3 linked regions of the Danio rerio genome follow. The protein of the gene in region 1 purifies or fractionates together with the protein of each later gene. This does not show direct contact. Links are inferred from orthologs where the notes say so. Each region holds a gene or a part of one and is shown in the gene's direction. Other genes may lie near its edges.

Region 1 (4,231 bases):
GATTGGCTGATTTAAATTGGCATTAACGAGCAGTTAAACAGGTGTACCTAATAAAGCGGCCATTGAGTGTATACTAGCATACATTATTAAAAATATTTTATTTCAAAGTTTCAGCTACATTTTTAACATTTTGAAAGGTGAAAAAAAATAATTATGACACAATAATAGCATGTTTCTAAAATATATTCAGAAATATCCCAAATATATTTGTGTGAATAATGCTTTTGTTCATTGAGACTAATAGAGAAATACAGGTGTTTTAGTGAGATGTATTTACAATACAGTAATAAAACTCTTGTATAATTATGTTTAGGCGACACAGTGGCTCAGTGGTTTGCACTGTTGAGAAGGCTGCTTGTTCGTGTCCTGGCTGGGCCAGTTGGGATTTCTGTGTGAAGTTTGCATGTTCTCCCTATGTTGGCATGGGTTTTCTCCAGGTGCTCTGGTTTCCCCTCACAGTCCAAAGACATGCGCTCTCAGTAAATTGAATGAACTAAATCGGCCATAGTGCAGCTGGAAGAGCATCCACTGTGTAAAACATATGCTGGATAAGTTGGCGAAGTTCATTCCACTGTGGCGAGCCCTGATGAATAAAGGGACTAAGCCAAAGGAAAATGAACGAATGAATGAAAGAACTATTTTCAATTATTAAACATGCAAAGCAGTACAACTTTCTTTAGAGGTCATCACATGTTGCAAAGTTACCATAACATGCAGTGTAAAAAGATGATCAAAAGTCACGACAGCATTTTTTAAATGTTATATTAACATAATTAATCAGTCTTTTTTAGTTACCTATTTTAATATAATTTTAATTCATTAATATTTTTTGTTTCAAAGCAGCTTTACATTCAAAATCAGAAAAGTTAGGTTATTAGTTACCATAACTTTATTAGTTACTAATAATTTAAAATAATCATTCATTCATTTTCTTTCGGCTTAGTCTCTATTTTAGAGGTTGCCACAGCATAATGAACCGCCAACTATTCCAGCATATGTTTTATGCAGCGGATGCCCTTCCAGCTGCACTACGGCTAATTTAGTTTAACACTGAATTATTATATAATTAAGGTATTATATGTAAACATAGTTAACCTGCAGTTATATAGTATATAGGTGATATTGTTTGAACACAATCAGTCTTTAAGTATTTAAGCTAACTTAATATTGAGTTTTACGAATTTGAATGAATCATTTTAATTGATTCATAGTTAAATTACCTGTAAAGTTTATAAGATTTACACATTTACAGTATATTTTACAGTGTTGAAGATGCACAGATGACCCATTAAGATCAGCACCTCCACCCTTCACATCAGTCGCCACTACTGAGTGCATACTGCAGGGGCAGGGAGTGACGTCACGGCCAGCCTCCCTCTCTCTCTCCAACAGTCCCTTCCTGCTGCATCACAACAGTCGCTGGCGGATCGGGTAACACTGAGCTATTTCCACTGCCGCGTGGAGTTTTTTATTTCGATAAATGTAACAGAAGTCCTCATCGACTACAGCCTCCGCCGTCAAAGCCCGTCGCCCCCGTCAGTCCGAGCGGTCAGTCCGAGCGTTTGCAGTGGGAGATGGCCAGGCCAGAGCAGGTCCTGCTGCTGGAACCGCAGCACGAGCTCAGGTTCCGAGGTGAGTCCAGAAAGCCCCACACTGACGAGGACTTGCGGATAAAACGCCCTGGATGAAGAGGGAGGGTCAGCGGGTGTGTTTTTTTAGTGGTTGGGGGCTGAAGGAGGCGGCGAGATGGCGTTTCTGGCAGGCCTCGGTGCTTGGAGTAATCATAATAATATTATGGCGCAGCGGTGTGTTTCTCAATCGGTTTATTATTCAAACTCCGCTAAAATGACACCTAATGTGACACGATAAGGTGTTCGCTTTGTGGTTTGTTGTATAGACTGACAAGTGTGTTAGCTTGAGCTAGCTTGATTTAGGCCTTGACATACAGGCTCTGCTGGTGGGCTGGTTAATTCGGTTAGTGTGAAGCGGTTCAACCGGTGTTGCCATGTCCGCATGTAAAATGTCGCTAATCAGATGTGCTCACTATTTGCTTATTTACATAATACAATAGCGAAATGCGTGTTTATCCTACGTGTAGTGTGTGTGCATGTCATGATATATCTCTGTCATCATTGTGAGATGATTTCTCCATTTGAATGACCGCTGTGAGCGAGCTGTCAAAGGCAATTGCTAATCTTTTCCCTTATGCAGACGCTTGCAGGATAGAGTTGTTATTGTAAATATTGCAATAATGAAAATCTGGGTTGATGTGTTTCGGTTTCTTTTGGTGAAGCAATTGGTTATTATTATGTTTTAACTTCTTTTGTCAGAATAGCTAGCATGTAGAGAAATCTGGCAACACTGACAACCTACCTTTGACGCTGCTTCCAGTCAGGAAGTTATTAGCGTTAGTCTGAAGACACCTTTGTTATTATTCCACTTCAAAGTTCAGCATGACGTGGACATGTTGATACTAATGTCATAAACAAAGCTATTCTGGTGTTTTGGATAAAACATTGGTCTTTGGTCGACATTTAAAATTAAATCATTTTCCATTTACATATTTGTTTTTTTTTACAGGATTTCTAGGTTAATGTCATTTAGACTATCATTACATTACTATCACTAAACAGACTAATGCTAGTTTCACTTGTACACTTCATGCCCATGTCAATCAGCTGATCCATAAGACTCACAAAATAAGAATGACTTTCCAAGCTTTTAAATCGCCATATCATTGGCTACATTCCTCATCATTTCTGGGATACTTGTATTTGTCTTGTTCTTTTATAAACAAAAGCCTTTGTGGCATGATCCCCTCATAGAAGAAAGCCATAATTTTTAAAATGTCAATAGTATGTGTAGTTCTAAGTTTAGCAGAAGACTGACAAGGACATTAGCTTCAGCTAGTCTGTTTAGGCCTTGACACACCGCTCTATTGGTGGGTTGGTTAATTTGGTTATGAACTGAAGCAGTTCAACCAATGTTGCCATGCCCTTGATGTTGCATTTGTGTTTTGCTGTCACTTACAAAATGTGCTGTTGAGGGTTTTTTATGACACTGTGTAGCAACATTTTGTTTATCCCACATGCATGTCTTAATAGTTTTCTTTGTCATTATGTGACATTTACTTCTCTCTTTGATCCACTCTGAACATTTCTCCTCATGGTCAGATAATTACAAGATGTATTTCCTGCCATAAGCAGGAATAAACAACTTGAATGCTTGTTTGTGTGATGTATTTTGTTTATTTCTGGCTTAATTGTACAGAAGATGTTTAATATTTTTATGGAGAAATCTGGCCGCCTACCTTGATGCTGTTCCCAGTCAGGAAGACATCAAACACCTGTATTATTATCTAACTTCAAAGTTCATACGACTTTATAGATAATAATGTCATAGTTATGTTGGTGTTTGAAATAAGAATCTTTTAATCCAATGAGAATTCGCATATTTGACATTTCAAGGAACACATTCTTTTGGAAGCAAAGCCGTTGTGAGCCAAACCAGCTTGAAAACATGTTGTTTTTCATAAGAATTAACCTTACACTAGCTCGTGAAGTTCACAATCACAGCATAGACCCTTAACAATGATTTATTGACTGCATGCTGGTCTATTTATTGTACTAATGTCACCTTACCACTAAATATGATACTGCTTTACACTACCTGACAAAAGTAGCTTGTCACCTATCAAAGTTTTAGGAACAACAAATAATAACTTGACTTCTAGTTGATTATTTGGCATCCGAAGTGGCTTATATGAAGGGCAAAGGCCTCTAGATTACTCTTAATTTATTTTATTATTTATTTATTTATTACCAAAATAAAATATGATCATGCCTTAATTTTTAATTATTTCATTAGGACAGTAAGGTCTGACTTTGCTTAGACAAAAGTCTTGTCACTTAACATAAATAATGTACAGTATAGAATATAAAGTCATGGTGCAGTGGAAACAGAAGGAATATTTTGCATAACTCCCATGATCTTGGACAACTGCATCCATACATCTCTGCAATGACTCAAATAACTTAATAATAAAGTCATCTGGAATGGCCAAGAAAGCGTTTTTGCAGGACTCCCAGAGTTCATCAAGATTCTTTGGATTCATCTTCAATGCCTCCTCCTTCATCTTACCCTAGACATGCTCAATAAAGTTCATGTCTGGTGACTGGGCTGGCCAATCCTGGAGCACCTTAACCTTCCTTGCTTTCAGGAACTTGTGGAA
Region 2 (3,706 bases), on another chromosome or scaffold:
TAACATATAAATGTGGGTTTACTATTTTTTTTTACCATTATCTTAAATAATATTGTTAGATAAGCTCTAGTTTTGGCTTCAGTACTGACTAATCTAATGTACATGCACAAATATAATATTGCATAGCTTCCTATTAAAAATATTAATTTAAAAGAGAGATTTGTAATGGGTATACTTATATGTGAGCACTGTATATAAATTGATATATATTCCAGAATAGGGCTTGACCCAGCACAGTTAGAATTACCAGTGATGTAAATGGGGAATGATAGGGCGAGTGCATGCCATTCAGGACTTTTGCAGCACAGAATTTATTAGTACAATGCATAAGCATTAACATCAATTAAGCGTTAATGTCATAAACTGTTGCCAGTCTCTGCAGGGTTGTATTCTTGTCTCAGTCTCCATGATATTTAGCCCTTCAAGTTGTTCAAGTTGTGATGTCTGCATTCCTTGTCTCTTATCACAAAATCCATGACGTACAACAAAATAATGACTCAATTAAAGACCCAACTCTGACCCCTTCATGTTGTTGAATATCACGCTTAATCAATGTCACTGTCAGGCAGTTTACATCATTTTTTTCTATGGTATAAAAAAAAAACTCTGGTATTGCAAATACAACCAGGAATACGGTCCTGGGACAACCACAGCGGCTAGTTCCTATAACTGAGTTCTTTTAACTACCCGATGGCATAGCATTTATTTTGAAACATTCACATACAGTATGTCAAACTGTAGGATCAAAGTATCTGGTGTCAGTGAATGTATGATCATACTCTTATTGAGTGTTTCTGAGTGTGTGAATGTGTATCTGTGTGCTTGTGCAGAGGTTGTGAGGAGTGTTGGGCTCTGAGGCCAGGTGAAGCTCAGCGCTTTGCATGGGATGATCCAGCAGGGGTGAGGAAGCTTTGTTGGAGCTGTCAAGACCACATTGGAGAACTGGACCTTGTCAAGGTTAGAAAAAGATTGAGCGTTAGTGAATCTACTGACCCTCTTACAGCCATGCTCATCACTTCCTCTCATGCTCTTTTATTTTAGGATGAGTGCGGGCAGTTTGCTTACAGCAGCTTGGTTCAGATTCACTGGGTGTCTTTCCTGGATGGCCGGCAGCGGGTGCTGATCTTCACTGAGGATGTTGGCATAGTCACAAAAGCACGGCAAGCAGAGGAGCTGGAGCAGTTCCAGCAGGAAGTCAACGTCTCATTACAGAACCTGGGCCTGTCACTCATCAACAATGACATCAGGCAGGAAATTGCATATGTTGGCATTACCAGGTAAATAATCCACACCCAGCAACAACCAGTGTGACTATTAATTTATAATAATTACTAAACCGTTAAAGAGGGAGCATAAATGCCACATGATTGTATAGTTGGTGACGTGATGATTGAATCCCCTTTTAAAGTTCTGGTGTGGTTTGGGAAATGAGACCGAAGAACCGCTGGAAGTCCTTTAATCACAAGAACATTGGACTGCTAGAGAAAGCCTACCAGAACCACATCAACAAGAGTGATCCAGGCTGGACTATGCTTGAAACTGGCATAGAGGTAATTAAATACTTCACCACAAAAAGTTTGAACATGTAAAATGTCACAATTATTTAACACTGACATGAAAATCCAAATTGAAAGGGATATGTAGGTTTCTTTCTTAAATTAAACATAAATCTGAGACTGGTCATTCATAAAATAGAATCAAAGGCTACCTGCAAATTGAGTGTCAGTAAAATATTTAAACATTTACAGAACTACTGTATATATGCTGTACTATATATAAACTTCTCTTTTTCCTCAACTGCTCCTATCACCTAACTTATATATTTTTTAAGTAAATCAGAAGCTTTGCACTAGTAGCACATGATGTGAGTACTGTCTTTTTATGATCAGTCGTTTGATGTCATTCTCATTGTAATTTGCTTTGAATAAAAGTGTCTGCCAAATGACTAAATGTGAAGATAAAGGTTAAGTTAAATTGAGGTCTTATAAAAAGAAACAATATTGTGCAAGAAACAAGAAAGTATTCAACGCATTACATTACATGCAATCCATAGCCTCTGCAAACAGTCCTAAGCATGTTCTTCACAGTCTGCCATGCAAGATTCCTGTTTAAAAATGCAAGTAAATTAAAAGCAAATGTTTACTTTTGAGTGAACTATTCTTTTAAATAGTTATAATTCAAGGTTGGTCTTTTAGTGTAAAATATTCAATGTTTAATGTAAACCAAGGGTAGTAACATATTACGTTTTCCAATATTTAATCTTTTATTTTATCTATAAATATATATTTTTAAATACACTGGGCTTTAAAATTACTAAAATACATCTATTTCTGAATTTGGAATCCCAACAGGTGATTTTAACATTTCATTAATAATTGTAATAATAATGATAAAATTAATATTACTACCGTCACAAAAGTCACCCGATACTAGGTCTGTCACAATATTCAATATATCGCACAACACATGAACATGACCTTATTAATTTTTGGTGATTTAATATATATCGCCTATATCTAAAAACCAATTCTAGCAAATTCTAGTTGGTTGTGCCTCAGTTACTTTTTACCTTGCAATTTTTTTGAAAACATTTATTATTATTTATTTAGGATATGAGTTTTTACATTCTGATTCCAATGCAGAGTTGTTAAATTGTTAAAATTACTATAATAAAATTAAATATTCTTAAGAATAACATTTTTTGTGTTCTTTGGAAGAGTGTACTTGCATTGTAATGCTACAATGTTGTCATTCTGGCATTAAATAATGAGTGCCATAAAATGGTCTTAAAATTATAATAATATCATTTATTGCATTATATTTTGATGTAATATATTGTGCAAAACAAAAAGATATCTTGACAGGCCTAGCAAATACTAAATCTTCCATGTCAGACCTTTCAAATTATTATTTTTTTTCGTCAAAATGAACTTTTAAAATTATTTTGTATATAAAACATGACCTAATAGGTGAAAAATAACCCTTTGTAAGATTGCATTTTTTTAAAAATGCAGTTACCAATGTTAAAAGGATTTACATAGGATGAATTTCTGAGTGTATATTTGAATAATAGTTATAACAAAAATGTCATTAGACATTTTATGATGCTTGGATTTCATGGTATTCTTTTTCGTCTTCGTTAAAACAGGTGAACTTTGGAAGAGTGCCCATGTTAATGAGACAGCCGTTTTCCTGCCAGATAAGGAGAAACTTCCTGCCTGGCATTCATGTTGAGCTGAAGCAGTCACCTCATCAGAGGAGTCTACGTGCACAGCTCTATTGGCTACAGGTAACGCATACACACTTCTTACAGTACTTGTTGAATGTCACACTTCCGTTGCTTTTGGCCGCCGTTCAGTTATTATGTGCACCATTTATTTGTTCCAGGTGGATAATCAGCTGCCAGGAGCTATATTTCCTACTGTGTTTCATCCTGTTCCTCTTCCAAAATCCATTGTTCAGGACTCAGGTACAAACAGTAGCTAGCATGTGAAGACTGTGTCTCAGCTAATAGACTTCTGAGTGCACATGCGAAGTGAATGAACTATTTTTCATCTTTAGAGCCAAAGCCATTCATCGATGTGAGCATCATCACGAGGTTTAATGAGCACAGCCAAGTCATGCAGTTTAAGTAAGTGATGGCCATTGAATATATTACATTTACTAATTGTGTCACAGTCTCAGCTGTGCTAAGCAGATTCGTTTC
Region 3 (3,706 bases), on another chromosome or scaffold:
AATTGTACTAGTTACAGTTACTTTATTCAAAAAGTAACTCAACTACTTTATCGGTTACTTACACCGAAAAGTAATGCATTACCGTTAAAAGTAACTTTTAAGTTACTTTTCCAAAGAACATTCGTAATGCTCCCATTAATGCCCTTATAACTAGGGCCAGATGGAATATACAGATAATTTTTGCAATTTCTGTGCAGAATTTTTTTAAAAATCTGTGAATTTATGCAGATTGATTTTGGGAGTATCATAAATAAAACCTTAATATATTAAATAAAAAGTAATACCTTTTTAACTTATATTTAATGTTTACAATGCAAATCCAATTAGATCCACTTTATTTGGTAAACAAAGCAAGTCTCTCATAAAATATATCTACTAAAAGACTGAAAATATTACTTTACAAACTTTATTGTAAATACATCAAGCAAACATTTTAATATTAAAATTATTATAGCACATTATTATTGGTAAAAGCTGAATAAATAAAAATATACACACGTTTACACAAGTAAATAAACAGAACCAATGATGGGCTAAAATTCTGCGGAATTCCTCACACGCAGATTCCGTGTGGGCCTACTTATAACATCTCTTCAGTGCTGCATGGAAAATACACCGTTGATCAACTTCACAGTTGTAATTAATTTGCATTCTCACAACTAAAACACAAAACAAATTTAAATAAATGAGTGATTAAAAATGACTTTTTATTTAAGTCAGATTTAAGTTTAAAGTGATAAACCAGCTAAATAATATATTCAAAGACAAAAAAAAGAAAAAACTAAAGTTGCTTCAGCAAAAGTTGTATTTCACCCTTAATCATGTTCCTTCACAGCTTGAGTATAAAAATAGCGACAATATACAACAAACACAAAAAAATAAATACATGAAAGTTATATGAACTATCTATTTTGAATCAATGTGGTGAAACTCAGCACCAAAAAAAACTGCTATTATAGACAACCATAATCTATGCATTTTTTAACAAAAATTTGATCTATTTCGAACGTACACTTGATCTCTTTCGCCTGCACACTTGGTGTACCTTACGTACATTTGGTCTCTCTGCTTTCGCTTGACTTTTTCCAGTCTGGCGCCTCATACACAACGTATTTACTGTGGTTGGTTGGCATCCTCCTATCCCACATTGCATCGCTGATGTATACACGGCTAGACTGTAGGCTAGACTGCAGCCAAAATTCATTAATTTACCAAGAAATGGACAAACACATCATATTGTGACATTAATGGAGTTACTATATCTAAAAAGTAATGCGTTACAGTATTAGTTACTGTCAAAAGTAATGTCATTACAGTAATGCATAATTGCCCAACACTGGTCTTAATCATATTCTTTTTGTTAAAAAATGTTTTTGGATGTTAACTCAAAAAGTCAAGAAAATACAACAGCAGTTTTTATCCTGTAAATAATAACATAACTGTAATACTGGATAAATGTCAGCCAATCACAGAGAACTCTTCTCTCTGTTCAGGTGGGACAGTACTTAGAATGGTCAGTGGAGTTTTTGAAGATGATCTCCAATCCTCACATTCAGTTGGGTAAGAGACTGAAAAAAGTTCACAAGTCAATCACGTTTTTTTTTGGACCGGAAGTTGCCACAACACATATAATCACAACTAAAGTATTTTTTGTGAAAACTCTCTCTCTCCTTTTCCTCCTATTCTTCCAGGTGTTTCAGCTATGATGTGGCAGACCTTCATTGTCAAGCGGTTTTCAGCTGCTGCCTTCCTAATTGAAAAGGTGTGTTTATGTCAGTTCATTTTCTTTGTTCAGCTTCTATGAAATAATTGACTGTGTGTGTGTGTTGATCAAGGTGGGAAAGGCACCTAAAGACCGGCTGTGCAGACGGGTAAGAAAAGACACAAAGCACGATTTCAGTTCAGGTCTGTGTCATTGGAATTAACATCTGTGCCTGATGTGTGTGTGCATATGTTTTAGGATGTAGGAATGGGGGACGCGGCTGTGAGGAGTTTCCTGGGCTCCTGTGTGCAGTTGCTGCAGGCTCTGATGGAGGTCTCATCTTCCTCTTTTCTTCCTTCCTATCCTTTTTTCTCCAGAGTAAGGACAGATCAAATGATGGATGCATGGAGCAGAAGCATGGCTAAAGTTATTGTAGCACTTTCAATGACGCTGATCAGTGAATGGGTTGATGTAAAAGAGTTAGATCTATTTTAATCTGCTCCTCTCTTTTTCTCTCTCAGGCGGATTCAGCAGTGGAGGAAGTGCCTCCTCCAGATGTGTGTGTGGAGGAAGCGTGGAGCGCTGCAGACGGCCCGGTGTCCATAGTAGAGTTAGCTCTGGATCAGAGATCTGTTCACTATCCTCTCGTTCAGCATCACTGTGTGTTGGCGACTCTCCTGCATGCCGCCATGACCTTCAGTCTGCGACTGAAGCCGCTCAGTCTGTTCGACAGCAAGGTAGATTTACTACACAGATTTTATACATTCTTACATGCACGCCATGCTGAAAGTTATTAGGACTACATCTGTTCCATTCCATCCTGACTTCCATAATAGGAAAACAAATATTATAGCAGTTAATGGTTACAGGTTTCCAGCTGCCTTCAAAATATCATGATTAAAGGTCTCATGAAATTAAAATCAGTCTGTTGGTTTTAAGGATATCTATAAGCTAGTGTGCTCCAAAACGGTGACATAATTCGTGTTTGGAAAATATAAAACTGATATAAACATCCGAAGCTTGCAGTTTGTCACCTCTGCCTAAATTGATCAGCATTTTTTTGTCGCCTCATATAAATCTTGACCAATCAAATGCTCTCTTGTATCTGACATGCCCCGCCCTACCCTATTTAAGATGCTTTCAATTTGATTTTCTTTTGATGCGCTTGAGCCCCACCACTATCACTGGCAGAGCTGTGGTAAAAGCAAAACACTATTGGCTGTTTTTTTAAGGGGAGGGGCTACTATATGTCCTGCCTTATCTTCGTTTCTCAGGTGAGATTACATCAAAAATCGAATAACAAAAATGCACGTTTTAAAACACTTCACGGAACCTTCAATATGATATGAGTAAAATGAACTGTTATGTTAACGTGAACATTATTTTACATATATAAAAAATATTTCATATTATATCAAAGAAACTACAGTACTATTGTTTTGTACACAATAAACAAATATAGATGTAGATGCATAACTGACATTTCCATGGGCTTTACTGCTTTTTTTGCAATCACCATCTTACTGTTACTGTGCGTTCACACCAAAGACAACAATGCTGTCTGCCTTCACAGCTCCGCTGGCAAGAGCGTCAAAATTCGCTAATTTGATCTTGTATTTAAAGTGGCCGTTGCAGCATATCAGCAAATCAGTTTAATTCACGCATAAAACATGCTTTGTAGAATAAAAATGTTCCTCACTTTTTTATTAAATTTATATTACAATGGGAGATCAATTTGTTGTGTGTGGTGTGGCCTTGCTCCACTTATCTAATATGTGTCCACATGTCTGAAATACTCTGAAGCAGCAATATTGTTTTGTACTGTACATGAGATTCCAGCTTTTTTAAAGAAAATATCTTTATATATATATATATATATATATATATATATATATATATATATATATATATATATATATATATATATATATATATATATATATATAACATTGATGGACATCAGTAACTCGGCAGTATCTATTTTTAATGTATGTCCCTGTAAGA

The links. Proteins that work in one complex are often made in the same cells at the same time.
Region 2: the proteins of vapb (region 1) and vps13c purify together in Homo sapiens (co-immunoprecipitation; 3 studies listed by BioGRID and IntAct, counting the BioPlex papers as one, with this or other methods). This does not show direct contact. The link is inferred for Danio rerio from reciprocal best matches to the Homo sapiens genes VAPB and VPS13C.
Region 3: the proteins of vapb (region 1) and rab3gap2 purify together in Homo sapiens (affinity purification with mass spectrometry; 4 studies listed by BioGRID and IntAct, counting the BioPlex papers as one, with this or other methods). This does not show direct contact. The link is inferred for Danio rerio from reciprocal best matches to the Homo sapiens genes VAPB and RAB3GAP2.

What each region holds. Positions count from the first base shown.
Region 1 is NC_133181.1:52,216,146-52,220,376, forward strand, and holds the start of vapb (vesicle-associated membrane protein-associated protein B/C), read left to right. Parts: upstream 1-1,317; 5' UTR 1,318-1,574; coding exon 1,575-1,632; intron 1,633-4,231. UniProt on the Homo sapiens protein: Endoplasmic reticulum (ER)-anchored protein that mediates the formation of contact sites between the ER and endosomes via interaction with FFAT motif-containing proteins such as STARD3 or WDR44.
Region 2 is NC_133182.1:29,675,030-29,678,735, reverse strand, and holds part of vps13c (intermembrane lipid transfer protein VPS13C), read left to right. Parts: intron 1-830; coding exon 831-957; intron 958-1,041; coding exon 1,042-1,277; intron 1,278-1,408; coding exon 1,409-1,550; intron 1,551-3,148; coding exon 3,149-3,289; intron 3,290-3,387; coding exon 3,388-3,469; intron 3,470-3,561; coding exon 3,562-3,631; intron 3,632-3,706. UniProt on the Homo sapiens protein: Mediates the transfer of lipids between membranes at organelle contact sites. Necessary for proper mitochondrial function and maintenance of mitochondrial transmembrane potential.
Region 3 is NC_133192.1:27,009,336-27,013,041, reverse strand, and holds part of rab3gap2 (rab3 GTPase-activating protein non-catalytic subunit), read left to right. Parts: intron 1-1,493; coding exon 1,494-1,560; intron 1,561-1,691; coding exon 1,692-1,762; intron 1,763-1,835; coding exon 1,836-1,871; intron 1,872-1,960; coding exon 1,961-2,080; intron 2,081-2,223; coding exon 2,224-2,439; intron 2,440-3,706. UniProt on the Homo sapiens protein: Regulatory subunit of the Rab3 GTPase-activating (Rab3GAP) complex composed of RAB3GAP1 and RAB3GAP2, which has GTPase-activating protein (GAP) activity towards various Rab3 subfamily members (RAB3A, RAB3B, RAB3C and RAB3D), RAB5A and RAB43, and guanine nucleotide exchange factor (GEF) activity towards RAB18.